Linked DNA regions of Ovis aries. The main gene of each other region encodes a partner of the protein of the gene in region 2 in a complex. Links are inferred from orthologs where the notes say so. Each region holds a gene or a part of one and is shown on either strand. Other genes may lie near its edges.

What was found.
Region 1: the proteins of BAK1 (region 2) and BNIP5 are in contact, whole or in part, in a crystal structure (PDB 8IGC), measured with the Homo sapiens proteins. The link is inferred for Ovis aries from reciprocal best matches to the Homo sapiens genes BAK1 and BNIP5. Residues at the interface, in NP_001179.1 of Homo sapiens: Leu78, Ile81, Gly82, Ile85, Tyr89, Glu92, Phe93, Met96, His99, Leu100, Tyr110, Lys113, Ile114, Ser117, Leu118, Ser121, Asn124, Trp125, Gly126, Arg127, Val129, Ala130, Phe134, Ala180, Leu183; in NP_001010903.3 of Homo sapiens: Ile246, Ile247, Gln248, Met249, Ile250, Val251, Leu253, Leu254, Lys255, Arg256, Val257, Gly258, Asp259, Gln260, Trp261, Glu262, Glu264, Gln265, Ser266.
Region 3: the proteins of BAK1 (region 2) and PXT1 are in contact, whole or in part, in a crystal structure (PDB 8GSV), measured with the Homo sapiens proteins. The link is inferred for Ovis aries from reciprocal best matches to the Homo sapiens genes BAK1 and PXT1. Residues at the interface, in NP_001179.1 of Homo sapiens: Ile81, Gly82, Asp84, Ile85, Asn86, Arg88, Tyr89, Glu92, Phe93, Met96, Leu97, His99, Leu100, Tyr110, Lys113, Ile114, Ser117, Leu118, Glu120, Ser121, Asn124, Trp125, Gly126, Arg127, Val129, Ala130, Phe134, Asn182; in NP_694535.2 of Homo sapiens: Ile78, Ile79, His80, Lys81, Leu82, Ala83, Met84, Gln85, Leu86, Arg87, His88, Ile89, Gly90, Asp91, Asn92, Ile93, Asp94, Arg96, Met97.

Annotation. Positions count from the first base shown.
Region 1 is NC_056073.1:10,352,396-10,362,069, forward strand, and holds the end of BNIP5 (protein BNIP5), read right to left. Parts: intron 9,114-9,674; coding exon 8,982-9,113; intron 8,180-8,981; coding exon 8,115-8,179; intron 6,528-8,114; coding exon 6,285-6,527; intron 4,683-6,284; coding exon 4,647-4,682; 3' UTR 2,116-4,646; downstream 1-2,115.
Region 2 is NC_056073.1:7,858,577-7,869,552, forward strand, and holds BAK1 (bcl-2 homologous antagonist/killer), read right to left. Parts: upstream 6,832-10,976; 5' UTR 6,661-6,831; intron 5,625-6,660; exon of another isoform or gene 5,049-5,624; intron 4,781-5,048; 5' UTR 4,771-4,780; coding exon 4,701-4,770; intron 3,817-4,700; coding exon 3,681-3,816; intron 3,372-3,680; coding exon 3,228-3,371; intron 2,166-3,227; coding exon 1,985-2,165; intron 1,866-1,984; coding exon 1,761-1,865; 3' UTR 532-1,760; downstream 1-531. Other genes in the region: gametogenetin-binding protein 1-like, read left to right, coding at 7,972-8,420, 9,258-9,370, 9,653-9,747, 9,870-10,026. UniProt on the Homo sapiens protein: Plays a role in the mitochondrial apoptotic process. Upon arrival of cell death signals, promotes mitochondrial outer membrane (MOM) permeabilization by oligomerizing to form pores within the MOM.
Region 3 is NC_056073.1:10,452,941-10,464,140, forward strand, and holds the start of PXT1 (peroxisomal testis-specific protein 1), read right to left. Parts: upstream 6,932-11,200; coding exon 6,760-6,931; intron 1-6,759.

The DNA.
Region 1 (9,674 bases), about 2.5 Mb from region 2:
CTATGGCATGCAGGCGGGTGGACCCTACACTGAACAGGACCATGTGAGGGAACAAGAGTCTACATCCATCCTCTTCAGACGGATCTACCTGGAGGAATCAAAGTACCTTTGAGAGGCCTGAGAAGAACCAAACCTCAGGTGTTCTAGCATCTGCTGCCTTGCTCAGTTCTGTGGCTCCGCCAGTCAAGAGAAGAGCCCCAGGAGTCAGGTGGAGTGGCCCTGCTGCCTTCAGGCCTTTCCCTAAGAAGGTCTTGCTGTTTGCAAGTAACTGTGTGCCCAGAGGCCCTGGGACACGTGAGCCAGGGAGGGAGGGTTCCAATCTTGCACAACTCAGGAATGCTTATTCCCTAGTGTGAAAAGGAGAACTGAATATAATATTAACTATTGCTCTAACTCAAAGCCTGTATTTGAGCCCAGATGCTCTAAGGTAGTTAGAGAATTGTTCTTGCCTGAATTCCAGGGTGGCTAGAGAAAAAAAAAAAAAAAAGATACAGGACTCCTTGTTAAATTTTAATTTCAGATAAACAATGAGTAATTACCTCGTGTAAGGGTATCCCCAGCATTGCAATTATTTGTTGTCTATCTGAGGTTCAGATTTAACTGGGCCACCCATATTTTTCTTTGCTAATTTTGGCAGCCTTAATAGTTCCTCTCTCCTTTTTATGCCTTGGAAAAAGAAAAAACAGCCACAGGAATGGGTTGTGTTTTGAAATCAGAAGGTGTCACTGGTGCCAAGGCCAGAACACTTACTAGTTTTCCAAACAAGCGTATCTTAGTGACGCCCATAGCGCAGTACCTCCTGCAGCCCAGCTAACACCCAAACTCAGCCAGTTCTCTGCTGACCCCCTTACCCCATTATCTCTGGGTTTGTTTTTTTGTGGAGTTGGTTTTTTCTTGTTTTTTTTTTTTTTTTTCTTGCCACCCAGATTGCACAGGATCTTAGTTCCCTGACCAGAGATTGAACCTGCGCCCTTGGCAGTGAAGTTGGAGTCCTAACCACTGCACGACCAGAGAATTCCCACCTGTATCTCTGACCCACCCAGTTAGCCTCCTGACTTGTCAGGACACTAAGAGGTTAGGTCATTACGTCCTGTTGTCACTTGCCCACCTTTCAAAAGCCTTTCAAAGCAGCAGGGTCTCCCTTGCGCCTCAGTGCTCTTGAGGCCTCCAAGGTGAGTGGAGGGAACCCCACTCTCACACCATGTCCCACAGTCCTGTATTCCTCTTGGCGCAAGACTGGCACCGCAGCCAGTGAGGGCTGTGAGTGTCCCGAGAGCAGGGGTCGTGTCTTGCCTCTGTGGATTCCGCAGAGCTGGCACTAGACTGGACACAAAGATAAATGTTGGCTGCGGGAGGGCAGGCGCTGCAGTGGCTCTCAGAGCAGCGTCCTTGGCGGCTCTGTGAGCAGCTGGCTGTGTGGCCTGGAGCACTCCCAGCCCCAGCGTCCTTGTCCGTGAGACAACGATAGTGCGGCTGTCTCCTGCCCTTCTCAGAGCATTAAGGCCCACCTTCAAGAGCTGGGGAAAGGAGGCTTAACTTTTGAAAGAAGACCAGCTATGCATACACGTTCCCTTTCCTCAGGTTGCCGCTGGAAGAACTCACGTGTTATCTGAGACAGGGGAAAGGAGGCTTTAGATGACTTTCAATGGAGACCACATTTTCTGGACCAAAAACCAGGCGCTGTATTCTGTCCATTTTTTTCCTGGTTTGAGTGACCGAGTTTGGGTACCAGAGTTTAGGAATCAACAGGGCAGATGAAGCAGCGTTAGGACTGGCCCAGACTTCCCTGGACATACAGCTCCCTGCCACCGGAAGAATCGCAGTTGTAGAATGGCAGGTCTGGAAGGCAAGTATCTTGTCTCCAAGGTCATCGGCCTGAAGGCAGCTGGATTAAAATCCAGGTCACCCGATGCTCAAGACAGGGCACTTTTTTTTTTCCCCACTGCCTCAGCAAGTTGGTACCACAAGGATGAGACACCTGAATAGCATCTGGACAGGGCTCCCAGGCAGGAAAAAGGAGGCAGACCCCCACAACCTTGCAGGCTCTGGACTAGCCTAGACGTGGCAAGTGGCTCCATCTTGCCTCCGTGGTGAATAATCCAATGCAAGTCAGACTTCTGTGCAAATCACTTTCTTTATTTGCTCAAATAACACAGTACAAAAATGAGACTCAGATGCCAGCATCAAAAACTCATACCAAATACATAACTTAAAGAACATCATTCCAAATAAGAAACTCTGTACAGAAGGTGCCTGACCCTCTTCTCAAAACTGATTCCGATCTTTCACATTTTAGTGCTGTGTTCCTGAACACTGCCTAAAATGAATCCATAAAATAAATAAACCTCCTCCACTTCTTGGGAGCAGCAATAACACTAAATGACTTTCAGAATCTAAAACTTTGCCTCAAGTTTGAGGCCAGTCCCTGCTAAGTGCCCAAGTCTCCCCCTCCTCAGCTCTACCCTATGGGGCTCATCACAACAGCAAGACAGTGTCCACCAAGGATAACAAGGATGGGTTGGCCATCCAGGTTTTAACACCCTCTCCCCGATGGCCACGTGCTCTAGGCAGTGTTAGAGGGCTGCGTTCATAGCCCTGTCAGGCATTCATGCAGATAAGAGACATGTGTTGGAACTGTTGTGCTGTGTAGAAGACAAAACTTTGCCTTGGTGCAAAAACAAAAAGCCCATTTCTCAAGATACTTTTCTGCCATCAGCTGGAAAATCATCATCATAAGTCTATAAATCCACAATGTCTCAGAAGTCAATGTCTCCTGCAGTTTGGTCTATTGAGCAGTGCACACTCATTCAACCATCCCTGGCAATCTAGCTTGAAGCCCTCCCCCATTTCCTGAAAACTACCCAGACTGTAGCTATCATAAGAATAGCAACTTATATAGACACAGCACTATGTAATTTCAGAACTCTTTGTGTTGATTTTCTTAGTGACTTTTGGCAAATCCCCATGATTGAACCCCATTCAATTTCCAAATTTACTTTTAGATATCATTGCATGGATTATTTGGATTTCCCAAGTGGCTCAGTGGTAAAGAATTTGCCTGCCAAGGGAGGAGACGCAAGTTTGATCTCTGGGTCAGGAAGATCCCCTGGAGGAGGAAACGGTAACCCACTCCAGTGTTCTTGCCTGGAGAAACCCATGGACAGAGGAGCCTGGCAGGCTACAGTCCACGGGGTCGCAAAGAGTCAGACATGACTTAGCGACTAAATAAGCAAAACATGAGATGGCAGAGCTGAAAGGCATCAGCTTCATTTCTCAGCTGTAGAATTACAGGACAGAGGGCTGAGAGGATCCTAAGAGAGACCAGCTGTCCCCACCCTGCTGCGGCCCCATCTAGAGGTTGCAGGGTTCCCGGGAGGTTCTACAGATCCATGTGGGCACTAAGTACTGTCGGCAAGCCGAATAGATTGTGTGAGACCTGTAGCTGCACATCTGTTACGTGCATGTGGATGTTCAGGTCAGAGATTAAGCATAGATGTATTTTTAAAACTAAAGTCAGTCAAAGTTGTTCAGTCATGTCTGACTCTTTGCAACCCCACGGACTATCCAGTCCCTGGAATTCTCCAGGCCAGAACACTGGAGTGTGGAGCCTTTCCCTTCTCCAGGGGATCTTCCCAACCCAGGGACTGAACCCAGGTCTTCCGCATTGCCAGCGGGTTCTTTACCAACTGAGTCACAAGGAAAGCCCGTGAATACTGGAGTGGGTAGCCTATTCCTACTCCAGGGGATCTTCCTAACCCAGAAATTGAACTGGGGTCTCCCACATTGCAGGCGGATTCTTTACCAGCTGAGCTATCAGGGAAGCAAGAGACTTATTTAAAAAACTAACATCTGAAAAAAGGTATCAGCAGCTCTTCTACATGGCATGGGCATATTTTTAGCCCTGGTGAACCAAGAAAACGCACGATAAACAAGCAAACAAGGGCACATGAGTCAGTACTAGGCCCTAAGGTTGGCCCCAGAATGCAGAGGCCTTTATTCCTGGTCCAAGGCTCTAGACCAACGCCTACTGAGGTAACTCCCCCATTTCCTCTCTACCTACCAATTCAGAGGAGAACCGTTGGTCTCACAATTCCAGTTGAGGACCAAGGCCTCCCAGAGAATGTCTGGCAGAATTGCCTGAATCTCAGGCGTTCCATTCATTCATTCATTTGGTCAGTACTTAAAGATTGCCTCCAGCTATGTGGGGTGGGTATATTTAGCCACAGAGTGAAAGCACTTGCTATCTCTCTTTAGAGATATTTTAGCATAATGCAACCAGAAAGGGTCTGATGGGTCACTAATCCAGCCCAGAATCCAAGGTCTGGAGAGAAGGGACGTGGGACTCGTACAGGGTTTTGCAGCAAGTTTGGAGGTAGGTCAGCAGGTGGAGTCCTGGTCTCCTAATTCCCAGTCCAGTGCATTTTCCCCCATGGCCTTTGCCTCCAGTTTTGTAGACGAACACCGTGTTCATTCTCTGTCTCAATGAGCCCACGATGGTGCATGGACACAGAATGGCTGTCCACTCTCGTCCTCAGTCATGTCTGTGAAGCACTGAACTGGGAAAACGTGGAGCATTTTCAGGGTTTCCTGGCTGAAGCTACCAATGTTTGCATAGTTCAAGGGAACTTGAGTGCAAAGCACAGCTTTCAATCTGGACTCTGGATCTGAAAACTTGTGATGCTCTGGGAGGAGAAAAAGAACACAGATTTTAGTCATAGTCCAATTACATATGGGTCCCACCCGGATAACAACAGCCTTCTCATTAACCCACTAGCTCCCACCTCTGGGTCTTTGCTCATAGAGGACCTCCTGCCTGCAGTGTCCTCTTGGTCTTTTCTCCCCATCGACAGCCTCTCCATCCTCAAAGGTCAAAATCAATGTCTGCTACCTCCTGGAAGGCTCCCAGAACCAACTTGCTTTATTGGCCACAGTTAGTGCTAATTTGGCATTTAATTGATATTTACTTTTATTATCAGTAAACAGTCTGTCTTTTTCCATTAGAACCTTTCACAGGCCCTCAGAGCATCTTACACAGCTAGGCTAATAGGAGGCTCTCAATATGTACTGATTGGATGGATGCGTGAATAAATGAATGGCTAGCAAAACCAGAAGATACAGTGTTAGGGCTACTGAGGATGTCAGAACTGATGTCTCTAAAATATCTTCCACAAAGAACTCAGATCACTCCATCCAGTGTTACCTAATCCACCTTGCTGCTGCTACTGCTGCTAAGTCAATCCACCTTAGAGGGCAAATTGTCCCTAGTCTCCAGAAGACAGTGAGTTTGAGAAAAGAGAGGTCGAAGGTCATAAGGGCTTCCCACCAGGAAAGCCACTGAAATGATGAGGTACAAGTATCATGAAATAGAGCCTGCTTTCTTGAGAGACTTATCACATGGCTTCTAAAGTTAATTCCAGGGGGAGACAAAGAGTTTGAGTAAGAGTGATATCATCGCAATAAAGGTCTGGTTCCCCAGGGAACCATTTGGATCTGGAAGTTCTGGTCCTATTTGTCCAACAGCAATAGAACGTTTCATTGCTTTAAAATCACAATCCACTCAGTAGTTTCTGCACTTTAGATGTGGTTGAATGTTTGTAAGCTGGTCATCTTAAGTGAATCTGAAAAGGGAGGGGAGAACTTAGAGTCCACCAGAAAATTCAGATTTGAAACAAGATCAGTAATAAGTTTTCTCTCTACAGGGACCATCCCAGAGTCTCAGGGAAGGGAGGATTATTAGGGAAAGCCTGAAACCAATCAAAAGAGTGAGCGATGGCAGAAGAGAAGCTATTCATAATCAGTCAAGGCAAGGTCCTTGAAGAATGTCCTCTGAGAAGCCTTTCAGAACCCAACAGCCCCAGGGAGCCTTCTCAACTACCTCACCATCCCTTATTTGATATGTAATCTTACTGTACTTTTTTCTTTAAATTTTATGATCGTCTCAATTGGCAAGCCAAGCAGCACAACCCATGAAACAGCAAGAGGGTGAAGCTAAGATAGGAGCCGGTCAGGTATTCCATACATCAAGAAGTATGAAAATACCCCTCCTGTTGGAGACCAGAGCCAAATAAAAGAGGATGCTAATTAGCTTACTAGCAGGTAAGGCGGGGAGGCTGGGAAAGATGAAGACCGCTGTGGTGTAGCATTGTCTCAGAAGGCCTGGACAAGGAGGTGGCATTTGAGCTGGACCCCAGAAGTCCTGAACTAAGCAGGGGAGGGGAGAGGACACGAAGCAGGTCCTTGTGATCTGAGTCCGTCCCCCCTCGTGCCACGGGGCCGGTTCTCACCTGCTGGGCCTCCTCGTTCGGGAACTGGCTGTAACTGGGGCTCCTGTAGTGTAGGCCTGTGAGACTGAGGGCGGTTTGGTAATTGTTGCCAGGACCCTGGTTTCCCAAGCCAAAGACAAATGGGTAGGTTCTCTTGGGCTCAGTGGTGTGGGCCTCTTGGTTGCGCAGCGTGGCTACCAGCTTTCTGAGGGAAGAGGCTGAGGGCTCGTAGAAAAATTTCTTAAAGCTGGGGTGTCGCTTGATCTGGAGGCAGAAATGAAGGCAGGCCATCAGTGTGGCTTGCAGGTAGGTACTCTCCTCCCCACAGCACCCCTCCTCCATCAACCCCACGCAGTCAGGCTGGGCGCCTCCCTGTCCCTGGGACAGAACGCCTTGTTAAATTCCTCCACCTTCCCTGGCCTCTCAGAATCTGCTCTGCAAGGTACAGCTCCAAGCAGCACAACAAAGTGGGAAAAAAAAACAAAAGACAAAATGCAGGTCTTTGGATTCAGATAATGGATGCTTAAACAGCACTCACTAGCTGTGTGACCTCTCTGAGCCTCTGTCACATGTAAAATGGGGGTAATAATACCTTCCTCCAGCACACTATTGTTGGGGGGAGGGGGTTAATGAGATAGTTTAATGTTTTGTGAAAAGTGGATGTTGGGTGAATTTCAGTTCCTGCCCTAAGCCTCCTCCTCCTAATACCTAAATGTCTTAGGTTGGGTTCCCCCAGAAGCAGATCCAAAGACTAGGACTCAAATGCAGCTCACTTCTGTGGTGAGTGATCCGGGCAGACATGGATGGGGGAGTGGAGACAGTGGGGCAAGAATGGGAAGCAGCCCCCTCAGGCTGGCAGCTGAGCCTGATCCCCTTGGGGCAATTTGGAAGCCTCAGAGTTATCCCCCCAAGGGGGGAGGGAGCTGGAGTATGTCAGCCGATGATTGAGGGCTGCTCCTGGCAAGATGGAGAGTGTCACGCTGGCCTATTGTGTGGGTGTAAACGGCTCTGGAGAGGCCAGTCTTCAGGCAAAAGGATGCAAGTGCTGGCAGTCGGGAGCTGGGCCAGGTGATCTGTGGTGCCAGAGGAGGTACCAATAGCACTGGCTACAGGCTCAGCTGTGAAGAATCTGCCTGCAATGCTGGAGACCACCTACAATACCGGAGCCCACCTACAATGCTGGTTTGATCTCTGGGTCGGGAAGATCCCCTGAAGGAGGGCATGGCAACCCACTCCAGTACTCTTGCTGGGATAATCCCATAGACAGAGGAGCCTGGTGGGCTGCAGTCCACCGGTTCACAAAAGTCAGACATGATTCAGTGACTAAACCAGCACCACCACACTGATCACTCATCTATGACCTGCCTCTTTGTATGTGATCTGTGTTTGTCTCTCCAAGTAGACTGTGAGGTTTTCAAAGGCGAGGAACCTTATGTTACAAGCTATCTAGCAATAGAGGGAACTCTAAAAGCTTGAAAGAATTAGAGGCCTTATAATTGCTGAAGCGTGTGCCAAGACAGAGTAAAGGGCAGATAGAGGACGAGATCAGAGCGACTTGGGGAAGGAGGCTTCCTTGAGCTGAACTTCAAGGATGATTTGGACAGGGGGAAGTCCTGGTTGGCAAGTGGAGACACAGAGCTTTACGTTATTTTAAATTAACATTGATCTCCTATGCTATGTGTCCGGCATTTTCTATATAAGCACTAAAGTTGGCAAGTAGGTATTTATCCCCCATTTTGGAAAAGAGAAAACAGAGGCCCACGGAAGTTATGGGGCAGGCCACGGTCACCCAGATGCAAAGATGGGGCCTGAACTTGGGTTCAGTCCTTGGGGGTACTGAGCACTCCTCACCTGCTTTCCCAACTGGCCATCCACTTCTTGGAGAAGGGCCACCAGCTCTTGGATGATCAGCTCCTCTAAGAAAAATAAAGAAGGATTGAGGGACTGTTGACAAGTTCTGCAATAACCCATCCATCAATCCCAGAAGTATTTTGCCTCTAAAACACAGCACACAGATTAGTTATGAAGAACCAAGGAAAATCTTCCCCTAAACTAGAGCTGGAGCATGAGGGTTTTGTTTCGTTTTGCTTTATAGACAAAGAAGGCACTTGGACCTGCCGAGCCTCACCTGCCGCCACATTCAGCTCCGTTTTGACAGATGGGGAAACTGAGACCTTATTAGGCTGCAGAATAGCCTGCACCATCAGCCTGGGTTGTAAACAATGGTGTGCAGGTGGCGGCTCTTACCAAGACTTAATTATGAATATTCAGAATATTTGGAGACCCGTTTGTTATACACTGTTGGCAACTTGAAATCAGCCAAGGTGGGAATTTTATACCTCAGAAATCTGCAAAGGCTACCTTCCCCTGGACCCCGTGCCCCTGGTGTACTGGAGCTTCTTTGCAGTAGGCCAATGGTTATGAGATCCAGAGCAAGCTAGGAGTTTTACAGGAAACATTCATGCAAAGCAGTGGCACGCGGTGGGGTGAAAGTACATCCCACAGAGCGGACAGGCATTCTCCACCTGAAGAAGGTTGTCCGCCTGCAACTCTGCCCCAGTTCAAAGGTCAACCCTGTGTCCTCTCTGCCCTTCTAGAGTCTCCTGGGATATTTGTAAAGCTGCCTTCCCAGTTCCCTACTAGGGTTCAGCCTGTGAAAGCCCTGCAAAGGGGAAGCCCCGGGGCAGCTGTCCCAGGAGAGAGCAGGGTGACACTAACTGGATTCATTTGCTCCATCCGGCTGAGGTCCCACTTCTGGCTTGTGGCTTCTGGCCTGGAAGGGTGCTTCTGGGGCTCCAACTGGCTCCCCTTCTGTGGGTGGGGACCCCTGGAATTCGAGATCCTCCGGATCTGAGGGCAAAGAGGAGTTGGTGTGAATGTGTTTGCACCTGTCTCAAATCCACCAGCAGGTCACTGAACCCAGGTTCTGACAAGAAGCTGTCCAAAGACTCTGGCTTAAGACGGGTCCTGGTTTCCCAGGCTCCTCAGGGAACCCCCAGCCCCACTGGACCTGCCTCAGAGGAGTTCACAGTGCTCTTTGTCCCTCCAGGCATCGCATTCTCTCTTCCACCTACCCCCTTGCCTCCTTATATCTGGGAGGAAAGCAAGCAGGCCTGCCAACAAGTCTCAGCAAGTGAGCCCCCTTCCCCTTTAACTTGGCAAGCCTTTGCTGAGTCCCTTAGTCTGTCTGAATCTCACTTTCTCCATCTGTCAGCTGGGAGAGTTGTGAGGGGGATTAAATGAGATAATATGTGTGAACGCAGCATGCAGCGGGCACTCTGCCAATGTTGGGGGGATTGTTGTACCCCAGTGGTCCTCACACCTTAGTGCAGTGAAGAAACAGAGGCCCAGGACATGTCCTGCTTCATCAAACCTGAGTCTCTCTTTTTCTATCACCTTTCCAGGTGATTC
Region 2 (10,976 bases):
GGAACATTTAAACGCCTCCGTGCTTGTTATTTTTATCACCCCTGGCTGCCTCCCCATAGGGACTCCCATGCAGCAGAGAACTCCTAGAATGAAAAGCCTTGTGTGTGCGAGCTGTGGGGGACAGGCTGAAGAGGGAGCCGCGATGCTGCATCCCAGGTGGAGCCAAGCGTGGGTGGTGGTCCCCGGAAGGGAGAGTTCAGACGAGGCCTGTGGGGGTCCCCAGGCAAGGGCAGCTGCTCCACCAGCTCTGCAGCCAGAGCCTAGCAGTTTGGGGACCCCTGACTTCTTGTGGGAATGGGAAACTCGCCTGGAACCCCAAGAAATGAGGAAAGTTCCTGGAGAAGGGGGTAGCGAGTGGGAAGGGGCCAAAGCCTTCTAGAGGGCTGGAGAAACACACCCAGCCCTCCACAGGGTTTTGGGGGTTCCAGAGGAGACCCGTCAGTACAAACCAGGTGAAAGTCACTCATGCCCAGGTTCCCCCAGTCAGCCTGATGAAGAGAGGGTAGTGGAGAAGACAAAAGGGATCAAGTCTGAGTGGGGGTTGCAGTTTATTTTCAGACACACTCAGAGGGTGGGAGGTGGCCAGGCAGCTCCCTCTGCATCCCCTCCCTGCATTTGGTTTAATCAAGAACTTTCCCCTGACCTCTGAATCCCTCAGCTGTGCAAGATAGACAAGGCACTTGACCCCACCATCAGGAGGGGCTCAGGCACGTATGGGGTTCAGAGGGTAGAGGTTGGGGGTGGGGTTCAAGTATTCTCAGTTCCCCTGTGCATACCCCCAGATTACACTGTGCCCAGGCCAGAAGGGAGGGCCCCAACCTTGGGGTTCCTAGTGGTGTTTCTAGCCCTTCTCTCACTCAGAAACTTCAAGATGCGCTCCCTACCCCTCCTTTCCCTGACAATGACAAGCCGCAGTCCTAAACCCTGTAGTCCAGGTGAGGTAGGGGCCGGGGCAGTGTGCTCAGCCAAGACCCCTCCCTTCCTTACCTGGAGTGGGGGTGTGTGGCGAGCTGCGCTTGTAGTGACGAGTGGGAGCAAGTGGTAACGTGGGGGGACAGAGGCCCTCAGGAGCTCTGGCCTGCACCCCACTCCACCCCACCCTGAATCCCTGAGAGTCCACCTGCAAAGTCAATATGGGCCGGCCGGAGGTGGGGAAGAGGGTAGCAGGGACTGGGCGGGAGCCGAGCAGCACCTTGTCCCCCGCCCCACCACCCCAGTCCTGTTCCCGGGGAATGTGGTGCTTAGGAAGGGCCAGGACTGGGCTCCAGGCCCAGCTTTCAAGCTCAACCTCCCAGAACTGCTGAATTCTGGGGAAGGGTAGAGCTACTAACCCCCACAGCCCAGACGTCCTGGCTTTGGGCAGAGTGGTGGGAAGGAGGAGTGCCCTCCTAAGGGTATTATAAAAAGCTAAAATCGTTAACGGCGACTTGGGAGAAGTGATTCCCAGCCTCTTGCTTCCCCAAGTTATCAGTCTCCCCAGCACCGAGCAGACAGGGCTGAGGGGGTCCCAGAGAGCTAAGGGAGAGGCCACCGCCCCCCTCTGAGAGGGGGCCGTTAGCACCATGCAATGTTAGAGTACCCAACAGTCTGATGGATGCCCCTGGGCAGGGGCCCTCCAAAGCTGGAGTGCCCACTTACTAAAGCTTCTGTGCTCTTAATGGGGGGGCAGAGGGACACCCCTGCTGGAGAGGAGGTGAGGGGAAAAGCCGGGGCCAAAGTCCACACAGGGGTCTCAGGACCCCAAAGGGCCCCTCCAGGAGTCATGACTTGAAGAATCTTCGTACCACAAACTGGCCCAACAAAACCACAGCCAGAACTATGGCTACGTTCTTGATGGGGGCGTTCCCCAAGTCCAGGGCTGCCACCTGCCGGGAGAGACGGAAGGGTCATGGGCGGAGGGTGCTGGTGGCTCCCAGGGCCTGGGGTGGGGCTGGGAGGGGCGGCTCCAGTGGCAGGAAGGGTTGACGGATGCTCAGGCACTCACCCAGCCACCCCTCTGTGCGATCCACCGGGCGATGGAGCGACGCAGCACGAAGTCGGCCACGAAGCGGGTCACCTGGCCCAGGAAGCCGGTCAGGCCGCGCTGGTAGACGTGGAGGGCCAGGCGGTAGCCGAAGCCCAGCAGAGCCACCACGCGGCCCCAGTTGATGCCGCTCTCAAACAGGCTGCAGGCAGGGGAGACACCGTTGCTGGAGACCCCTGGGGGGCTCTTTGACTTCCTTCCCCCTCCCATCCCTTTGGACTGCCCCACCCCTAGCCCTTCCCTGCTGGAAAGCAGAAATGGCTTAGCTGTGAACTGGTGGGGCAGAGGCTGCCCCAGCCTGGCCTTGATCTGGGAAGAGCCCGCGTCCCTGTGAAAGGAGAAAGCTTGGAGGGCAGATGAGTGGGGCGCTGCTGTTGGGACACAAAGGCAGAGCGTGGAGGGCAGAGCAGGCGGGTGGAGGCAGCGGGGAGATTACCTGTGGGCGCTGCTGCTGGCCTGGCAGCCCGGGACGGCAGAGAGAAAAGGACAGAAGAGGAGGTTAGGACAGTCTTGGAATCACAGCGGAGTGGGCAGTGGCCTCTAAGGACACAGGCAGGGTGTTCAGCTCTGAGCACTGATTCCATCTCCTGCTCCTGCCTTCACCCTCAGCCTCAAATCTACCTCGAGACTGACTCCCTTAATCCAGATGGTGACAACGGCTGACACCTTTAAGAGTGCATGCAATCCTAAGCATATTTCCCCTAGTTTATGGACCAGGAAACTAAACGCTAGGATGTGTCACGAAGCCAGTAAATGGCGAAGCTAGGATTCGCCCAGGCTGCTGGTCTCTTGAGGCCAGATCTCAGCATCAGGAAGTCATTTTCAGGACCTGGTAGGCTGAAGCCAGGTCCAACAATCATCTTTGGTGTGAAATGTAGCTCCAAATCAGAATGACAGCTGTGTCCCAGCAGTGCTTGGGATGTCTGGGAACAACCCCACTGCGAGCCCCCTGCCCCCCACACAGTCCTGATCTATCAGCTCATGTTGGTGTCAGGGGTCATGAAGGCTGTGCCCTTGTGTACAAAGATGAGGAGCCTGGGCTTAAGAAGAGAAAGACAGGGGCCCAAGGCCACACGTGAGTTAACAGCAGAGGCAGGGACAGAAAACACATCTCCCAACACCAGCAGAGAAGCTGTCTCCCGTTTCACGGGGAGGGCCTGGCGCGGTGGGGACAGCGCCATGGAGGGGCGGTGGCCGGGGCTACCTGGACGCGATCTTGGTGAAGTACTCGTAGGCGTTGTCTGCCGTCGGCTGCAGGTGCTGCAGCATGGCCTGGAACTCTGTGTCGTAGCGCCGGTTGATGTCATCCCCGATGACGGCGAGCTGGCGGCCCACCTGCCCCATGGTGCTGGAGGATCAGGAGGCGGCCAGTGAGTTGGGGCTCGGGCTGGCAGCAAAGCGCTCCTGCCCGAGATGCCCTGGCCTCAGGCGCCGCTCCTGGGAAGTCCTGACTGTGTGCTCAGACAAGAGGGCTGGGCCCGGGCACAAGGGGCAGGCTGTGCTGAAAAGGGTGCTGGTTCTGGGATGGGAGCGGTGACCCAAATGCAAAAGGGCAGCAGCGGAAGAAGCCCCCAGGCTTGCTCAGCTGCCAGGGCCAGCACGGTGACCCTGCATGAGTCTCTGCTTCTCTCAGCACGTCTAGGAGGCCGCAGCTCACCTGGTAGGCTCTGGGTGCAAGGTGACCATCTCTGGGTCAGTAGGCGCAGCCGCCCCCTCGGCCTCCTGCTCCTGCTGATGGCGGTAAAAGACGTAGCTGCGGAAGACCTCCTCGGTATCCCGGGCTACCTGCTCCTCTGGGGACCAAAGCCGGGAGTCAGGGAGGAAGTGCTCTGGGGAGGAGGGTTCCCTCTGCTGGGGGACACACCTGTCCCTCCTCTAGCCCTCGGGTGACACCTAGGGCTGACTCTGAGTAGAGCTGTCTTCTCACAGCAGCCTCGTGGAGGCGACCACCCCGCTTACAGATGGGGAAACTGAGGCACGGTGTTTGCGTAACCTGCGCAAGGTCACGCGGCTGGAGTGAACAGCGTGGCCAGGACAGATTCCCGGGCGCCTGGCTCTCTGGCTTTTCGTGTCCAAGGCACCCGGCCGTACGGCTTGGCTTAGGGAACGTGGGAAACAGAGTTTGAAATTGCAGCCCAGGAAAGTCACATTGGGACATGGTGAGTGGCCTGAGACGGAACCCAAAGTCCAGGAAGCAGCCTGTGCTGGGTGGCAGAGCTGCCAGCCTTCCGGGTGGTCCCCTTGGATGAGGGCACTCTCTTCCTTCCTCCCCAGAGTCTAACAGCCCGTCTCCCAGTTGAGCAGCCCTGATCGGGTGATAAGCTGCCTCACTTCCTTATTTCTCCAGCCTGGGATAAGACAGCCGCGCCCAATGCCTTCCCTCCTGCTCACCCATCCCGCCCGGCTGCCCGGGGAGGGCAGGGTGTCCTCCGCAGGCTCACCGCCCCCTCCCTCGGCCTCCACGTGTCCTTCCCCGCGCTGCTCTTGGGGCTCGGTCTTGCCTGCACCCCAGCTGCTGAGCCGGTGGGCTGCCAGCACTGGGTGGGGAGGTGCTCTCTCCTTTGCGCAAGGCGGGTAAACTAAGGCGGGCCCCTGGGGCTGTCCAGGTCTGCTCTCGCCAACCCCCCAGCTGGCCCCGGTGGTCATGAGGTGGGTGAGGGGGCAGACAGACCCTTACCCGATGCGGAGGAGGGTTCAGGCTCATCGCAGCCCTGCCCAGGGGGACCTGGACCTTGTCCCGAAGCCATTCCTCAGGTCCTGGGGAGAAAAGCAGCTTCAGATTGTGTTGGGGGCAGATGGGAAAGCAGAGATGGGGCCAGGGGCTCTGGCGGCCCATGGAGGCGGGGAGGGCCCCCTCCCGAAAGACCCACTGACCCAGGAACTTATCACTTCACTAGCGGCTCTTCAAGAAAGACTGGGACTGAGAAAGGCCAGGCAGCCAAGACTGCCCCCGCCGGGGACCAGCGCAGGCCCTGGGGTGGGGAGGCCACAGTGGTGCCCAAGCGGCTGTCTAGTCACGTCTTACCCCGTTCCTGGGCCGGGGAGGTGAGTTTCAGAGGCGGAGTTTCCTTCTGCTGCCGCTGGGGCCCTCTGCACCCTATCCGGTCCACATCCACCACAGACTCGCTACCTTCCAACCAGTGACCCGTGAAGGCCGTCCCCGAAGGCCCCACTTCCCCCCAGCTAGTCAGAGCACACCTGTTTTCCACCTCGGGCCTGTTAGCCACACACATCCCGAGCGCCTGTGGTGTCCTCCTCACACATGCGGGAGGAGGTGTGGGACGCGGGGGTAGCATGGCAGGGCAGGCACCATCATGCCCACTGCACAGGTGGGAAAACTGAGGCTCAGGGAACGCTCCAGGCCACAGGGCTGGTCAAGCCATCAGGGTGACTGAATTTCCACACGCGTCCGTGCTCTCCTCAGCGCTCCTGTCAGGCTTGCTTCCCGGTTGCCGGCGGCGGCCTCTGCCCTTGCCCCACCTGCCTAGCAGGCGGCTGAGGAAACCACGTGCCCCCCTCGCCCTCCTGTCTCCGGCCCGTTTTCTTCCTTTGCTGGGTTCTGGCCACAACCCCCGGCAGCTCAGTGAGCCCTGGGCAGAGTGAGTATTTCCTGGACGTAAGCTGTTTCACTTTCAGTTTGCACCCTCCTCATTTCCCCGCACCCCAAAGCTGCCTCCATCACCCAGGCGGAAGCCCCTCTCCTCCCCCTCGGGAGGGCCCAGCCTGGGCCCCAACACACGCCCGGAGGGCCTGTGTTCCGCCTCCTTCCTGGGAGGGCCTGTATACCCCACCTCTCCCAGGCCTGGGGCCATTTTCCAAAGGGCCTCAGGAGAAGGGTGGGGAGGGCCCACCTGTGCGCCCCACCCCTTCCCTGTCGAGGGGGCAGGGACAGGGAGAAGGGACTCGCCCCTCCTGCAGCCCGCGGTCCCCCGCCTGCTTAAGACAGACCTTAGCCTGGCACCCGGCATCCTAGAAGCTGCTTCCCAAACAAGGCGCCTTTCTCCCTCCCTTGGTACCCAAACGCGGTGCCCCCCAGGACATCAGGGCTGAAGGATGCTAACTGCACCTCGACTCCCTCTCCCACTACCCCTGGGGCTCACGGCTGGGGATGAGGTGGAGCCTTGGAACCCGCCCCAGAGCCAGAGGCCTGAGCTGACCTGGGACTTCCTCTGCCCCCATCCAAGTGGCCTGACTTCCTGGTGGGGAGAGTCCGCTGTGCCCACCTTTTGGGTTTGCCAGGCCCAGGATGCTGCTGGAGTTGGGGGGGGGGAGGGGGCAGATCCTGACCTGGTCTTAGGACTCCTGGGGCAGCAGGAAGCACTGTGAACGGTCTCCTGCTGCCCTTGACCTTGACTCTGACCTCCACTCCCATCCCCCAGACTGCTAAAGGACCTGGCTCTTTGGCACGCGATTCTCGGGTAGCCAGGGCCAGGGCAAGAGGGGACGCCGCCTCAGGGGCAGCCCAAGGGAGCCCTGGCTGGATCTGGATCGGCCCACCGTCGAGGGTTGGTGGAGCCGCCCAGGCAAGCTTCGCAGTGGCGTCCCCCTCCCCAGCGGGCTCCCCAGGGGCTCCCTGCCTCACCCTGGGCCTGGGGCTGCCCAGGGAGGGGGGCATGGGCAAGACTCTCCCGGCTTACCTCCCCGGACCCTGGCCCAGGCCCGAGATGGCCCAGCGGGGCGGAGGCCAGAGATCCTGAGGGGTCAGGGGCTGTTCCCAGGGTTGTGTCCCCACGCCTGGCTTCCAGGAAGGGGAGTCAGTGGATCCCTGATGTCTGGAGTGCAGCCTCTGCCGGTCCCAGGGCGGCTCTGGGGGACCCACGGGGCTGCGGCGATCATAGAGGCGCCGGCGGCTCCCGGCTCCCATCAGCTCCCTCTAGAGGAAGTCGCTCGGTGGCCGCCGGATGCGAAGCCGCAGCCCGTGGCCTGAGGCGGGTCTGGGCTCTGCAAGAGAAAGTGGCTTCCCTCCTCCTCCCCCACGGCTTTTCCCCCACCCTGGTTCCCAGCCCTAATTCTTGATCTGTCCCCTGCTCCCTTCCATCAGTGCCAGCAAAACAGCCAGGATGGGGCGGTTCCTTGAGCCCCACTCTGTGCCAGGCACTTTAAAAGCCCTTTGGATGGACTTCCTTGGTGGTCCAGTGGCTAAGACTCTGTCCTCCCAACACAGGGAGGTCTGGGTTCGATCCCTGGTCAGGGAACTAGAGCCCACACGTAGCGACTAAGAGTTCGCTTGCTGCAGCTCAGACACAGTGCAGATAAATAAAAAACATTTAAAACTAAGCGCACTTTGGAACAACCCTGGGAAGCTGGTGCAGTGGGTCACACCCATCTTTCAGGGGATCAGACTGAGACTCGGCTGGTTTAAGGAGCCTCTCCCAAGGTCACTGAGATGGGTTTATAATCAGGTCTCCAGGAATAAGACTAAACTGAGATTCAGCGTGCACACCAGGCACCTACCTTGGTGGTTTCCACAGAGGAAATGTGACGTCCCCCTGAATCTGCCGGGCAGGTACGCAGAAAGGGGGGCACAGTGGGCCCGTGCCAGCTGGATGCTGAGAAGGGAGGGAAGGGGGAGGGCAGCTGCTGGGGAATGAGTGCTTCCCAAGGACAGAAGCGGCTGCAGGGGAAGGACAGGCAGCGAGGAGAGAGCCCTGGGCCACCACCCCATCCTCAGAGCTGGGGTTCCTCTGGACTCCTCTGCCTGCCCCCCCACTGTCTCCTGGGGCCTCCCCAAACCCTCAAGCCCTCCCACCCCAGCTGGCTCCCTAGGCCTTGTCAAACCCCTGCCCTCTCTGCACCCAGCAAATCCCCCCTCCCCCCCTTCTGCCTTCTAGAACTCCTGGAAGTTTCCAACTGGAGGTTTTCAATTTGAAAACCTCCTTCTGTTCTTAAGCAGTTGGTCCTGCGGTGGCTGCTGCGGCCCCTCCCTCTGAGTCAGGGACCCTCTCGGGATGGAGGCCGCTGCTTCAAGCCCTCGGCCCCGAATTTTGGGCCGCTCCCCCATGTTCTGCTTTTCCTGGAGCTTGGTAGGCAGCAAGTGCGGCCGGGAGAGCTCAGGCCAGGCCTTGCGGAGGGGCTGGTCGTGGCCCCTGGGGGGGCAGGACGCCGTCCCCGTGATGCCCGACCGTCAGGGACAAGCTGGGAGGAGGGAGTCCAGGCCTCCCGCCACGCTGCCCTTCGCCCGCCCTGGGGCCCTGCCGCGGCCCAGCCCCTCGGGGCTGGAGATGGGGGACCCGGGGGCCCAGACCTGCCCCCCCGCGGAGGTCATGGCTCAGGGCGTAGAGGTGAAGCCAGTCCTGCCCAGAGGAAGCCAGGAGGTGCTGGGCCACTTGTCTGAGCTGGAGGAGAGGGAAGAGGCGGCCACAGGGGAGGCCTCAGGGAATACGGGGACCTCAGAAAGGTGAGGGGCTGGGCCGAGGATGGAGGAGCTGGGGGAAGCCAGGGTGTCAGGAGGGAGGGGGACGTGGGCCTGAGCTTTGAGGACCCGAAACTGGGGAGGGACCAGGGGCTTCCCTGGTAGCTCAGCTGCTAAAGAACCCACCTGCAAGGCAGGAGACCCCAGTCTGATTCCTGGGTCCGGAAATATCCGCTGGAGAAGGGATAGGCTACCCACTCCAGTCTTCTTGGGCTTCCCTTGTGGCTCAGCCGGTAAAGAATCCACCTGCAGTGTGGGAGACCTGGGTTAGATCCCTGTGTTGGGAAGATCCCCTGGAGAAGGGAACGGCTACCCACTCCGGTATGCTGGCCTGGAGAATTCCATAGACTGTAAAGTCCATGGGGTTGTAGAGTCGGACACAACTGAGCGAATTTCACTATCAGGAACGGACTCCTCGGGTGGGCAGAGGACTGGGTGGGCATGGTCGTTCACATCAAGGGTGGAGAGGAACCTGGAGAGGCAGAGGGAGGCAGAGACAGGGCTCCTCCTCAAGTGAGGGGTAGTGCATAGGGGCACCAAAAGGCCAAGGGCACAGGCCAGGGACTAGGAAGGGTGCGTGTGGGGTGAGCTGGGCCTCCCATCACTTCCCAGCTCCTTGCTGGGCCCCTCCCCTCCTCACGGCCCTCACCCTACTTTTGGGGGGATCATCCCCCTCTGTGATGCAGACCCCAGAGGGCAGAGCAGGGAGCAATGGGGAGCAGGGGGGTGGAGGAGCTGAGCAGAGCCTCGGCAGGGGTTTGGGACCTTCACCACCTCTCGGGCCCCACCTGCCGCCCCCATCTGACTGTGCTCTGGGGTCAGGGGCCACTCTGCCCAGGCCTCGGCGGTGGAGCCAGGATGCGCGCGGAGGGCCGTGGGGCCACTGGAGTTCAGCCCCGAGGCCTTCACAAGGGAAGAGGAATGTCTGGTCGATGGTGAGTGCGGTGGCCACAGGCCCCAGGGGACAGCCAGGGCATCGGGCCAGGGGTGGGTGGGGGGGCAGGGGACGAAGGGCAGTCTGAGTGGAGCTGGATCCCAGCTCCACTCGGGGCAGGCGGTGTGAGGGCGGCAAGTCACTCAGCCTTCGTGCATCTCAGTTTCATCATCTGTAGAACGGGAGCATGATAGCATCTCTGTCAGAGGGCATTAGCAAGGATTAAGTGAGACGATCTCTCCACCTTTGGCTGTGGGCTCCCAGTGACCACTGCCCTCCACAGGTGACCCAAGACTGGCCTCCTCCAAGGTGGGGGCAGCTCCCTGGAACCGCCTCCTCGGCTTATACAAGCGGCTCCAGAAAGGGGCCATGGCCAAGGTCCGTGGGGCCCCGGCCGGAGGCGGGGCGGGGTGCGGGAGAGCGCGCCCCTCTCACCCGCTCCTGCTTTCTGCTCGGGGGCCGGGCTCAGCTGCCCCCTCACCTGTGGGGTGGCTGTCCAGCCTCAGTTCCCTCTCAAGGAAGGCCTGCCCCGAGAAGAGCCAGGCGAGGAAGAGGAGGCGGCAGCGGAGGAAGACAGCGCCCTCAAGCTCTGCGTCCCGGGCATCGTCACCCTCCAGTCCCCGCTGCATAAGGCCTTCAGGTCAACGGACACAGCAGGTGGGTGTGCCGCCCGTACCCCCCCACCCCGCCCCCAGCCCCGCTTTGATGGAGCCGCTCTCGGATGCGACACCAGTTAAGACCACCAGGGGGAACCACAGGACCTAAAATGATCGCCCCGGCCGGCTGACCCGCGGGCGCCGGTCCGCAGAAGGAGCTGGGTGTGCGCCGGGGAGGCGGGGGAGGCTTGAGGCGTGGGGGGCGGCTTACGACCGGGACCGTGGCTCCTCGAGCAGCACCCTTTCCCAGCCCAGAACTCTAACTCCTTCAGTGGCGCCCCCTGCACCCCCAGTGTTCCTGTCAGATGTGCACTTGCTGTGACGGTGCCCAGGGGACCCCCTCTCCCATTGCAGCCACCTCACTACACTGGTGGGGCGAGCAGACAGCTTAGTGGTAATGAATGACAGCCTCCAGTAAAGTCTCCGTTGACATTTTCCTTACCACGGGCCAAACCCTCTCCTAAGCACTTTTCATGAAATACTGCATTCTGACTCTGGGGTCAGTCCTGTTATACTGTCTCCGCTTCCCTGTGAGATCACTGGGGCCCAGAGGGGTTAAGTAATTTGTCCACGATCACCTCACTGGTCAGTGGCAGAGCTGGGGCTTGAACCCCCGTGGTTTGTGTTACTCCGGATTGGAACGCTGGAGTTGATGGCTGGAGGAGGCAGGGCAGGGTGGAGCAGATGTCTGCCCCTGGAATGAACACTGTCCCCTGAGAGGCAGGTAAAGAGATTCACACTCAGGGTGGGAGCAGGGAGCCCAGTGAGAGTCCTGGAACAGGCTGGGCGGTGGAGAGGTGGAGTCTGGCAGGCTCTAGGGGCCCGACTGGGGGTGACCAGGGGCCATGCAGGGCAGGGTGGGGTTTGGGGAGCTGGGGCCACTTCATCTTCCTCAGATCCCCAGCAGGCTGCAGCTGCCCCCTCCTGCCTGTCCCATGCCCTTCTCTCTCT
Region 3 (11,200 bases), about 2.6 Mb from region 2:
AACTTGTAGATATCATAACTACAAATCGTGTCAGCAGCGGAGGAGAGGCAGTGAGAAAGTCCAGAAAACAAAGGTAATACAGAAAGTTTATGGTGCAAATGAGAAGCCAATTAAGATGTGGCTTAAGTTTAAAGATTTCCTTTAAAGCTTTAAGCTTAATTGATAGCTCAGTTGGTAAAGAATCCACCTGCAATGCAGGAGACCCCAGTTCAATTCCTACTGATAGCTCAGTTGGTAAAGAATCTGCCTGCAATGTAGGAGACTCCAGTTTGATTCCTGGTTCAGGAAGATCCGCCTGGAGAAGGAATAGGGTCACAAAGAGTCGGACTCGACTGAGCAACTTTCACTTCCATGACCCACTACTTGTAGATCTGGATTATGTAAACTGTCAACAATCCATCATTTAATGTACAGCATACTGTCTCAAAACCATACATAACTGTGCTTTGACCTTTAATGGACAGAACAGTTCTCAGAGTTTTCTGAGAGGCTATTCCAGGGTTATAATCTTCAATTTCAGAGAAGGCAATGGCACCCCACTCCAGTACTCTTGCCTGGAAAATCCCATGGACGGATGAGCCTGGTAGGCTGCAGTCCGTGGGGTCGCTAAGAGTCGGACACGACTGAGTGACTTCACTTTCACTTTTCACTTTCATGCATTGGAGAAGGAAATGACAACCCACTCCAGTGTTCTTGCTTGGAGAATCCCAGGGATGGGGGAGCCTGGTGGGCTGCCGTTTATGGGGTCGCATAGAGTTGGACACGACTGAAGCGACTTAGCAGCAGTAGCAGCAGCAATCTTCAATTTGGCTCAAAATAAAATTTCTGTTTCTTTCTTAGACCAACTGATCAACTTTTTTTGTTGGCACTCAGCCTGATTTAAGCAATCACAGCTTTAATCCACTATTTCATTACTTGGAGATGTTTATTCTCAGGAAAATCACTTCAGTACCTACGAACTTGATTGGTGGTAGCGACCACTCCTGAATCCCAGAGCCTTAGGAGAATGTGAAGAGTATTTGCATAGAAATGAATCCCCAGTCTATGTTCGATACAGGATACAGGATGCTTGGGGCTGGTGCACGGGGATGATCCAGAGAGATGATATGGGGTGGGAGGTGGGAGGGGGGGTTCAGGATTGGGAACTCATGTACACCCATGGCGGATTCATGTCAATGTATGGCAAAACCAATACAGTATTGTGAAGTAAAATAAAGTAAAAATAAAAATTTTAATAAATAAATAAATAAAATAAAAATAGAAAAAAAAGAGTATTTGCATAACCTTTTACCTTTGTACATAGCAAGTGGAGAGAAGAAAGGGCAACTGAGTGGGGAGACCTTCCAAATGAGTATCATCAACTTCAAAATGGGTTTAGGACCAGCCCTACCTGTGCCAATCAAAAGCATGATGATTTGCAACTATCATTTTAACTGACTGTCATCTGGGAAGTACAAAATCTAGTATCTTCAGTATGAAGATGGAATACAAGTTGGGTAAGTTCCAGTAATGGACGCTGGGAGAAATGGAGCTATAAGAATGCTAACAAGCCTTGGGTATTTCAGCTGGGTAGACAAAGGGGCAGAGAAGGAAGGACCTAGAGATAGAACACAACAGAAGATTGTGCTCAAAGCAAGAAGTGTGTTTTGTATTCTGGAACTCAGCATAACAACTATTTGTATTTCGTGCATATCTGAACAATTACTGGTGAAACACTTGCAGCGTGGCAAATGCGTGTGTGCTCAGTCATGTCCAACTCTTTTTGACCCCATGGACTGTAACCTGCTGGGCTCCTCTGTCCATGGGATTTTCCAGTTGTGGATACTGGAGTGGGTTGCCATTTCCTCCTCCAGGGGATCTTCCTGACCCAGGGATCAAACCCACATCTCTTGAGTCTCCTACATTGGCAGGTGTGTTCTTTACCACTAGCGCCATCTGAGAAGCCCAAAATAACAGAGATGATACTGCATATGAGATGTGTGTATCAGCATACTTACCTATTGGATACACATTGTCTATGTCAGTAATTATGGGTCACCATTACTCCCTAAGAACTTAGAATTAAAAGAGTATTTTCTGAGAACTTAGAGGCAAGATCAGTGTATGTTTAGTGGAAATGGGTGAGATGAGCAGTCATCGAAGGGGAAAGGCTACTAGCTCTCCCTTGCCCAAGCCATTCCCTCTGCCTGCAACTTGCACCCTCCTTAACCCCCTCAGGTCTCAGTCCAGAGTTACGTCTCCAGGGAAGCCTTCTCTAACCTCCCTCCTAGGCCAAAGCCCCATTATAGCATCTGGACCTCTTAGCACCCTATCATATTACATTTAACATTGGTATATGTGATTGACTGCTGTCTGCCTTCTTTACCTGACCATCTGTGCCAGGAAGGAAGGGGCTGTTGCTGTTTTTGTTTATTATTGTCACCCAAGTATGTATTGCAGTGCCTAAAGTACAGTTGGCCCTAGTATTTTTTAAAATGAATTTAAAAAGTCAATGTGTCCATCTAGAGGAGGAAAGAGAGAGATGGTGAGCCTTAAGAGCACCAAAAAAATAAAAAAGCATAAATGAGCATCCAAGGGACTTTCCTGGTGGTCCAGTGGTTAAGAATCTGTCCGCCAGTGCAGGGGTCCAGGGTTGACCCCTGGTCTGGGAACTAAGATCCGACATGCCATGGAGCAACTAAGCCCATGCACCACAACTACTGAGCCCTTGTGCCCTGGAGCCCATGCTTGGCAACAAGAAGCAGGCACTGCGACCGGAAGCCCATGCACCACAACTAGAGAGTAAAAGATATATATATATAGAAAATGAACACCCGAGTGTTGCCGGAAGGGGGACCCTGGGGGCACCCCTTTCTGCAATACAAGCACTCTCAGAAGCAGAAAAGCTGAAAACTGGACGCTCTTCTGACTTCTACAATTAATATATCCCATTTACACTACCTATATATCTATGAGTGTCTCTGTGTTAGTTGCTCAGTTGTGTCCAACTCTTTGTGACCCCATGGACTTTAGATCACCGGGCTCTTCTGTCCATGGTATTCTCCAGGCAAGAATACTGAAGTGGGTTGCCATTCCCTTCTCTGGAGAATCTTCCTGACCCAGGGGTTGAACCTGGGTCTCTTTCATTGCTGACAGACTCTTTTTCGGCCACACCCCACACCTTGTGAGATCTCAGTTCTCCGACCAGAGATTGAACCCGGGCTTCTTGCATTGGGAAGTGCAGAGTCCTGTTGGATGCCAGGAAATTTTTCTATGTGTGTGTATATATGTCTGCCCTTTCCTATCAATAGAGAAGGAAATGGCAACCCACTCCAGTATTCTTGCCTGGAAAATCCTATGGACAGAGAAACCCGGCCAGCTGTAGTCCACAGGTCACAAAGAGTCGGACATGACTGAGCGCACACACTTTTCCTATCAATACTTTTTACATTTTTAGAAGTGGGCAGGGCCTCTTTCCACTTTTAATCATTTTTGTTTTCCCAAGAGTGTCTAATTTATCTTAAACGATGTATCAGGACGGTTGCTCTGGACTTCTCCAAATCCTATGCACCTCCTCAACTTTTCTAAGTGTCTTTTAGCTGTACATGGGCTTCCCAGGTGGTGCTACTGATAAAGAATCCTGACAATGCAGGAGACCCAAGAGATGCAGGTTCGATCCCTGGGCTGGGAAGATCCCCTAAAGGAAGAAATGGCAACCTACCTATTCCAGTATTATTGCCTGGAAAAACCCCATGGACAGAGGAGCATGGTGGACTATAGTCGGGGTCACAAAGAGTTGGACACGACTGAGCACAGGTGTATGCGTGTGCACACACACACATTCTCCATACAAATACTACGGGTTCCTCCTCCCCCAGCACCAAACAGATATGTTCATATGGCTAGTGTTCAGTTCAGTTGCTCAGTAGTGTCTAGTTCTTTGTGAGCCTATGGACTGCAGCATGGCCAGGCTTCCCTGTCCATCACCAACTCCTGGAGCTTGCCCAAACTCATGTCCATCCAGTCAGTGATGCCATCCAACCATCGCATCCTCTCTCGTCCCCTTCTCCTCCTGCCTTCAATCTTTCCCAGAATCAGGGTGTTTTCCAAGGAGTCAGTTCTTCGCATCAGGTGGCCAAAGTATTGGAGTTGCAGCATCAGTCCTCCCAATGACTATTCAGGACTGATTTCCTTTAGGATTGACTGGTTTGATCTCCTTGCAATCCAAGGGACTCTCAAGAATCTTCTCCAACACCACAGTTCAAAAGCATCAAATCTTCGGTGCTCAGCTTTCTTTATAGTCCAACTCTCACATCCATACCGTAGCTTTGACTAGACAGACTTTTGTCAGCAAAATAACATCTCTGCTTTTTGATATGCTGTCTAGGTTAGTCATAGCTTTTCTTCCAAGGAGCAAGCGTCTTTTACTTTCATAGCTGCAGTCACCATACGCAGTGATTTTGGAGCCCAAGAAAATAGTCTGTCACTGTTTCCATTGTTTCCCTATCTATCTGCCATGAAGTAATGGGATCAGATGCCATGATCTTAGTTTTCTGAATGTTGAGTTTTAAGCCAGCTTTTTCACTCTCCTTTTCACTTTCATCAAGAGAATACCCCCAAAGTAACAGATAAGTTTGGGCTTTAACCGGTCACTTTCCAGCCAACAATGGCTTGTGATTTTCATTTTCAGTCTGTATTGCAGCCTGGGACAAAAGCACTAAGAGGAGAAAGGGATCTTCTCAATCAGCTTCCTCATTAAGAGTTCGCTCTATCTAATTTATCTAACCTATCTAATCTATCTTTGTCATCCGTCCATCCATCCAATCAGGTGCCCAGCAGGAGAGCTTCCCAGGGTCCTCCACGGGACCAACCACACCTGGACGACTACGCGTTCAGGGTTCTCCTCAGACGCACTGCCTAGACCCCGTTGTCGGCCGGAAAAACCCTTGGGGCGGGGCTGGCAGTAGAGGTCACGTGAGCGGCTGTGACCAATGGGAAGTGCACACGGCGGGGTGTGCCCAGAGGGGGTCTCCGGCGCCGGGGGCTGGCGCCCCTTGTGCGTTGCTACTACTAAGTCGTGTCAGGGGTGTCCGACTCTGTGCGACCCCACAGACGGCAGCCCACCAGGCTCCCCCGTCCCTGGGATCCTCCAGGCAAGAACACTGGAGTGGGTTGCCATTTCCTTCTCCAGTGCTTGAAAGTGAAAGTGAAATCGCTCAGTCATGTCCGACTCTTCGCGACCCCATGGACTGCAGTCTACCAGGCTCCTCCGTCCATGGGATTTTCCAGGCGAACTTGTTCGCTACCTGCTTCAAATCCGATTGAGGGGGAGGGAGACTAGGTATTCGGGGTATACCACCAGGCCCCTCCAGTGACCCTGGCTTTAGCGTTCTCGACGTCATAACAACTCAGTGTCCCTCACACTGCCCCCTTCAGTCGGCGCGTCCCCATTCCTTCAGCGGTAAAAGAGGAGAAACACGACGCTTCTCGCTGAGCCTGTGAGGGAAGGAAATGGGAGTGGGGGTGGGGCGCGGCTTCTGGCCGCTACCGCCTCTGACTGGGCGGCAACCGACGGCCGAGGCTTGCACTGTCGGCGCACCAGACAAAAATGCCAGACACAAAGATTTTACATACGTAGTAAAATGAGGACTCTATGCAAAAAAAAAAAAAAATATATATATATATATATATATGCAGATTAGGCTGTTGGCTGTCACTGTAACTTAGTAGCATTAGTAATTCTTCACCCTTCTGCTTTTTTTGAGGTGAAACTAATTAGGAAAGGTTTTGGGGTAAATGTGGCAACCGCCCACAGTGCACCTCAGTTTCATAAGGATCGGTGAGGATTAAGTAATACAGTGAGTGTGAAAACATTGGAAAAGTCTTGCAGTAAAAGACAAGTTCTAGAATAGTGCACGGCTTTGTGAATATACTAAAAGCTTCTGAACTGTGTGCTTTAGAAGTGTGAACTTTATGGTACGAGTTACATCTCAACTTAGAAAAGCGAAATGTATGTTCTATAAGGTAATCATAGGTGACACAGTCTCGGGTTTGGAGATATCATTGTTGACACCTGTCCAGATGAAAATTCAAAATTTTGGTCAGTTGAGTTCTTTTTAGAAAATGGATATCATATTTGATGTGGCGGCCAGGGTCTCATTAGGATGCTTGAAATTTCCGCTTTCTTAGGGGCATGTATTTCTTTTAAAGTGGAAAATAGTTTGAGATTAATTTAAATCCTTTCAGGTGTCTAGCATGTTTTTAATCTAAAAGTCTAAAACCACATGCATTTAACTCTAACATTCTTTAATGCTTTTTCAAACACAGCACTTTAATTTTCCAACATTTTGGGACATTTAGGAATCATACATTTTTGAAAAACAAAATTTCAAGTTTATCTTTCCCTCATGTTCTTTCCTATATTGACAATATCAAGAAGGAACCTACACTGAATTTTCCCTACCTCAACAATGCAGACATTTTCAGGTCAAGTTTAAAGGTATATTTTTTTATTAAAAGATGAATTTGATCTATTTTAGTGAATTTGGGATCATCTTAATTAGTTGTCACATCAGTGATTCAGAGCTAAAAGAAACTAGGAGGTTTATACCATGAAGCAAAGTCAGTTTTAGATTTTTACTATGTAAGAACTTCCTTGAATAGATTTACACTACTTCTTAATGTTTAAATACTCCAGTGCCCAATTTTATATCTTCAGTACCAGGAAAAATACAAGCTAAATAGAATATTTAACTTAGTTTAATACAAATAATATCTTACCTGGGTTCCTTGACATGGCTGAAACTGGCTGGGAGCTGACAAGTTGGGTCATGTAAACATTCTGAAAACTGTATTTCACCCACAGTGATTTGCAACAATTTGTTACACTGGGAGAGGGATTCAGAAGTTCTTTAGGTTCATAAACAATGGCATCATGTTTTTTCTTCTTCATGTGTTTTTCCTGTTAAAAATATTTTCAGAGGATTTCTCCCATTTCTCAGTATATATTTGGTATGATAAATGAATACTAATATTTTAACACAAACAGCTTTTATTCCATATATAAAAAGATTTTGCATTTGGAAGGAAGATGGAACAGGGTGATCTGTAAGTTCTTTTTCAACTGAAGTAAACATCTATGTTGTTTGGTCTTTAGATCTGATACATTACCCTGTATCCTCATCTCCCAGCACTTTCTCATCATCTTAATAGTTACATTCCATCCAGGGAACAGTCTTAAATTAGTACACATAGAAGAGAGACAAATTATTAATAGTATAGCCAAAAGAAAAATAGGTTTAAAAAACCTAGACAAGTGGGGAAGATTGGAGATGGAATATATTCTTCTTCCTACTGCAGGGTGTGTGTGTGTGTGTATTTCCTCCCCAGAATGGCTCTTGCATTCCCTCTTTAATACTCCATATACACACAGTCCATCTCTGCAGATGCCAATGAAGGCTATTCTTTGCACACTCCTCCCTTTTCTTCTAATATTAAACCACAATTGGAGAAGGCGATGGCACCCCCACTCCAGTACTCTTGCCTGGAAAATCTCAGGGACGGGGGAGCCTGGTGGGCTGCTGTCTATGGGGTCACGCAGAGTCGGACACGACTGAAGTGACTTAGCAGCAGCAGCAGCAGGAAAGCACCAATCCAGTAAGTTGAAGAATGGATGATTCTCATTGTCTATCAGTGTACTTACTTATCTTATCTTAAAGGTTGGCCACAGAGTTTGACTTGCTATTTTACCTTCTAAATCTAAGCAGTTAACAGAAAATCAAAGAATGACTGAGAGGTCAAACCATAAAAAAACAACTAAAGGTAGCAGAGGAGGCCTTCTGAAGCATTGCATCAGTACTGTCCAATAAAAATATGTGAAAGACATATGTAACATTAAGTTTTCTAGTAGATACATTAAAAAGTGAAAGGGAATAGGTAAAATGAATTTTAATGATATGTTTTATTTAACCAAATGTATCCCTAAATAAATTTCAGTGTTATCATTTCCACAGGTAGTCAATATAAAACTTAATGAAATATTTTATATTCTCATTAGTGTACGTCTTCAAAACCTGGTATATATTTTACAGTGCATCTCAGTTTAAATTAGCCACACTTTGGGTGCTCAGTAGCTACATTTGGCCAGTGGCTACTGTATTGGACAATAAATATGATAAAGCTGTATTGCAGCTTTAGAGGAAGAAGCAAGAACTGAAAAGAAATGGCTTTGAGAGACCGACAGTAAGCAGCAATCTCAGCTAGAAAAACTAAGTTGGGGGATATCATCAGGTAAAATTCTCATTTTTTAAAATTAGAGGATAATTGCTTTACAATGGTGTATTGGTTTCTGCCATACAACAATGCCATCAGGTAAAATTCTGATCTCATCATTATCATGTATGACATTTTCCAGTGTAGGATGCTATTACAAATTTTGATTATTGTAATTTGGGCCAGATTTGGGGTGTGGGAGCTGTGGGATGAAGTGTAGTGTATGCCTGGTCATTTTTGATGCCTTAGGCTGCCTGACATTTTAACTGTTCTCATCAGGCAATCTTCTAACCTTTATTTGATTTCTCAAGTTAACTTTCCATTGGGAAAAGGACATCCTCTCCAGCTAATGCCTCAGAGCCAGATCAGAACCTGGGTATAATTATTAAATTGCTAAATGAGCAAAATTGACAATCAAGATATAGTTTTGGGGTGACAGTCTTGTCTGAAAGAGCCAGCTGACAGTGTTACCCACCAGCTCATTGTGAAACTGTCATTTTGTACTGGTTGTTCACATGACATTGCTAGATAATTGAGAATAAAGTATCTAATTATGGCCTGTTAAAGTAAATAATTGAGCATATTAGACTTCATTTTCCCCAAATAGGTTTTTATTATAATTATTCCCAAGTAATTCTGCAGGATGTTATATTTATTGAAACATAATCAGTGCTAATTATACAGCCATCTTTTGGTATCCATGGAGGATTGATTCTAGGATCCCCTTTGGATATTACATCCACAGATATTCAAGTACCTTATATAACATGGCATAGTATTTGCATATAACCTATGCACATCCTCCCATATACTTTATTTTTTTTTTTTGGATCATGTTTTTATTTTGAATGTTTTCCAGAATTTTATACTGAAATGTGTATATAGCATGTATTACCACTGATTCAGCCTTACCATTGTTATCTATAATTAATCTAATCAACCTAACATTTTACAATTCAGGAATCTTTAGTTTTACCTGTAGTTCTGGAGGTTTTACTACATATTCTTCAAAATAATTTGTAACAACCTGTTAAGAGGAGTGTTTTACACTATCAGGACACTCTTTTATACTTTCTTATCTAGAAATATCTGCTTGTCTCTAAGCTTTTGTTTCATATTTCCTAGTTCTGTAATTTCAGCATCTCTTTTATATCGAACCTAGTTTTCCAAAAGTCTCATTAGATTATATTTGCTGATTTCCCTTTATCCACTGCATGTTTGCTATGTAAAACTTTGCTTCTTTAGGTGTGTTTCCTTTATCCTTTATTTATAGATGGCAATAGCCTGTCTAGTATCAAAATGAGACTCTCTACTACTTGCTGCTGCTGCTGCTGCTAAGTCGCTTCAGTCATGTCCGACTCTGTGCAACCCCATAGACAGCAGCCCATCAGGCTCCCCTGTCCCTGGGATTCTCCAGGCAAGAACACTGGAGTGGGTTGCCATTTCCTTCTCAAATGAAAGTGAAAAGTGAAAGTGAAGTCGTGTCTGACTCTTAGCGACCCCATGGATTGCAGCATACCAGGCTCCTCCGTCCATGGGATTTTCCAGGCAACAGTACTTGAGTGGGATGCCATTGCCTTCTCCACTCCCATATACTTTAAATTATCTCTGAAATGAAGTGTTAGTTGCTCAGTTGTGTCCGACTCTTTGCAACACCATGGAGTGTAGCCCACAAGGCTCCCCTATCCCTGGAATTCTCCAGGCAAGAATATAGGAGTGGGTTGCTATGCCCGCATCTCTAGACTACTTATAATACCTAATACAGTGTAAATACCATGTATATAGTTGTAAATATAATGTAAATGCTATGTAAATAATTGCTGGCCCACAACAAATTCCAAGTTTTTTCTTTTTGAAACTTTCTGGAATTTTCTTTTCTGAATATTTTCTATCTGGTGGTGGAAGTGGTTTAGTTCCTAAGTCGTGTCTGACTCTTATGACCCCATGGACTGTAGTCTGCCAGGCTCCTCTGTCCATGGGATTCTCCAGGCAAGCATACTGGAGTGGGTTGTCATTTCCTTCTCCAGGAAATCTTCCTGACCCAAGAATTAAACCCAGGTCTCCTTCATTGCAGCAGATTCTTTACAACTGAGCTCCAAGGATGCAGAACTGGTGACTACAAAGCACCAGCTACATTTTTCATCTAAAATTTATTTTTAAATATATCTAAGAAAAACACTAAACTCTTGTTAGTAACAACTATACTAACATAGTTGTTAGTATAATTGCCTTTACAAAATGCTGTGACTACCTGAAAACTTGAGGAAATCCGAAGATTCTGAAAAGCATAGTCATGGGAGGTATATGGAAGTCTAAGTAATTATTGAGCTGATATATGTTGTCTACTTAATAATCATTGGTTTACATTAGGTATCTTATTATTTTAAGGCGTAGTAATGATATTTTTCATTTATTTATCTACTTTGGAGGTTGTTCTAATTTAATGTTTTAAATGTATGTGAGTCAAGTTTTTTATCATTTCCTGCAGCAACTAATTCATCTGTGGGTTCATATTTTGTTGTCTCTGTGTGGTAGGCTGAATAAATGGTCCCCCCAAAGATGTCCACGTCTTCCCAGAACCAGTGAACGTTTTCCTTTATACAGCAAAATGGACTTTGCAGATGTGGTTAAAGCTATTGAAAAGCAGAAATTATTCTGGGTTATGTGAACCTGAACTAATCGTATGGGTCTTTATAAGAGGGAGGCGAGAGAGTCAGAGAAGGAGATGTAACAGTGGACGCAGAGGTCAGAGTGATATGCGAAGGAGTGCAGGCAGCCTCTAGAAGCTGAAAAAGGCGAGGAAACTGATTCCCTCCTAGAGCCGCCAGAAGGAATGCAGCCTTGACAACCCATTTTAGGTTTTCTACCTCCAAAACCATGAAATAATAAATTTGTGTTGTTTTAGGCCATCCAATCTGTGGTCATTTGAAACAGTAGGAATAGAAAACCT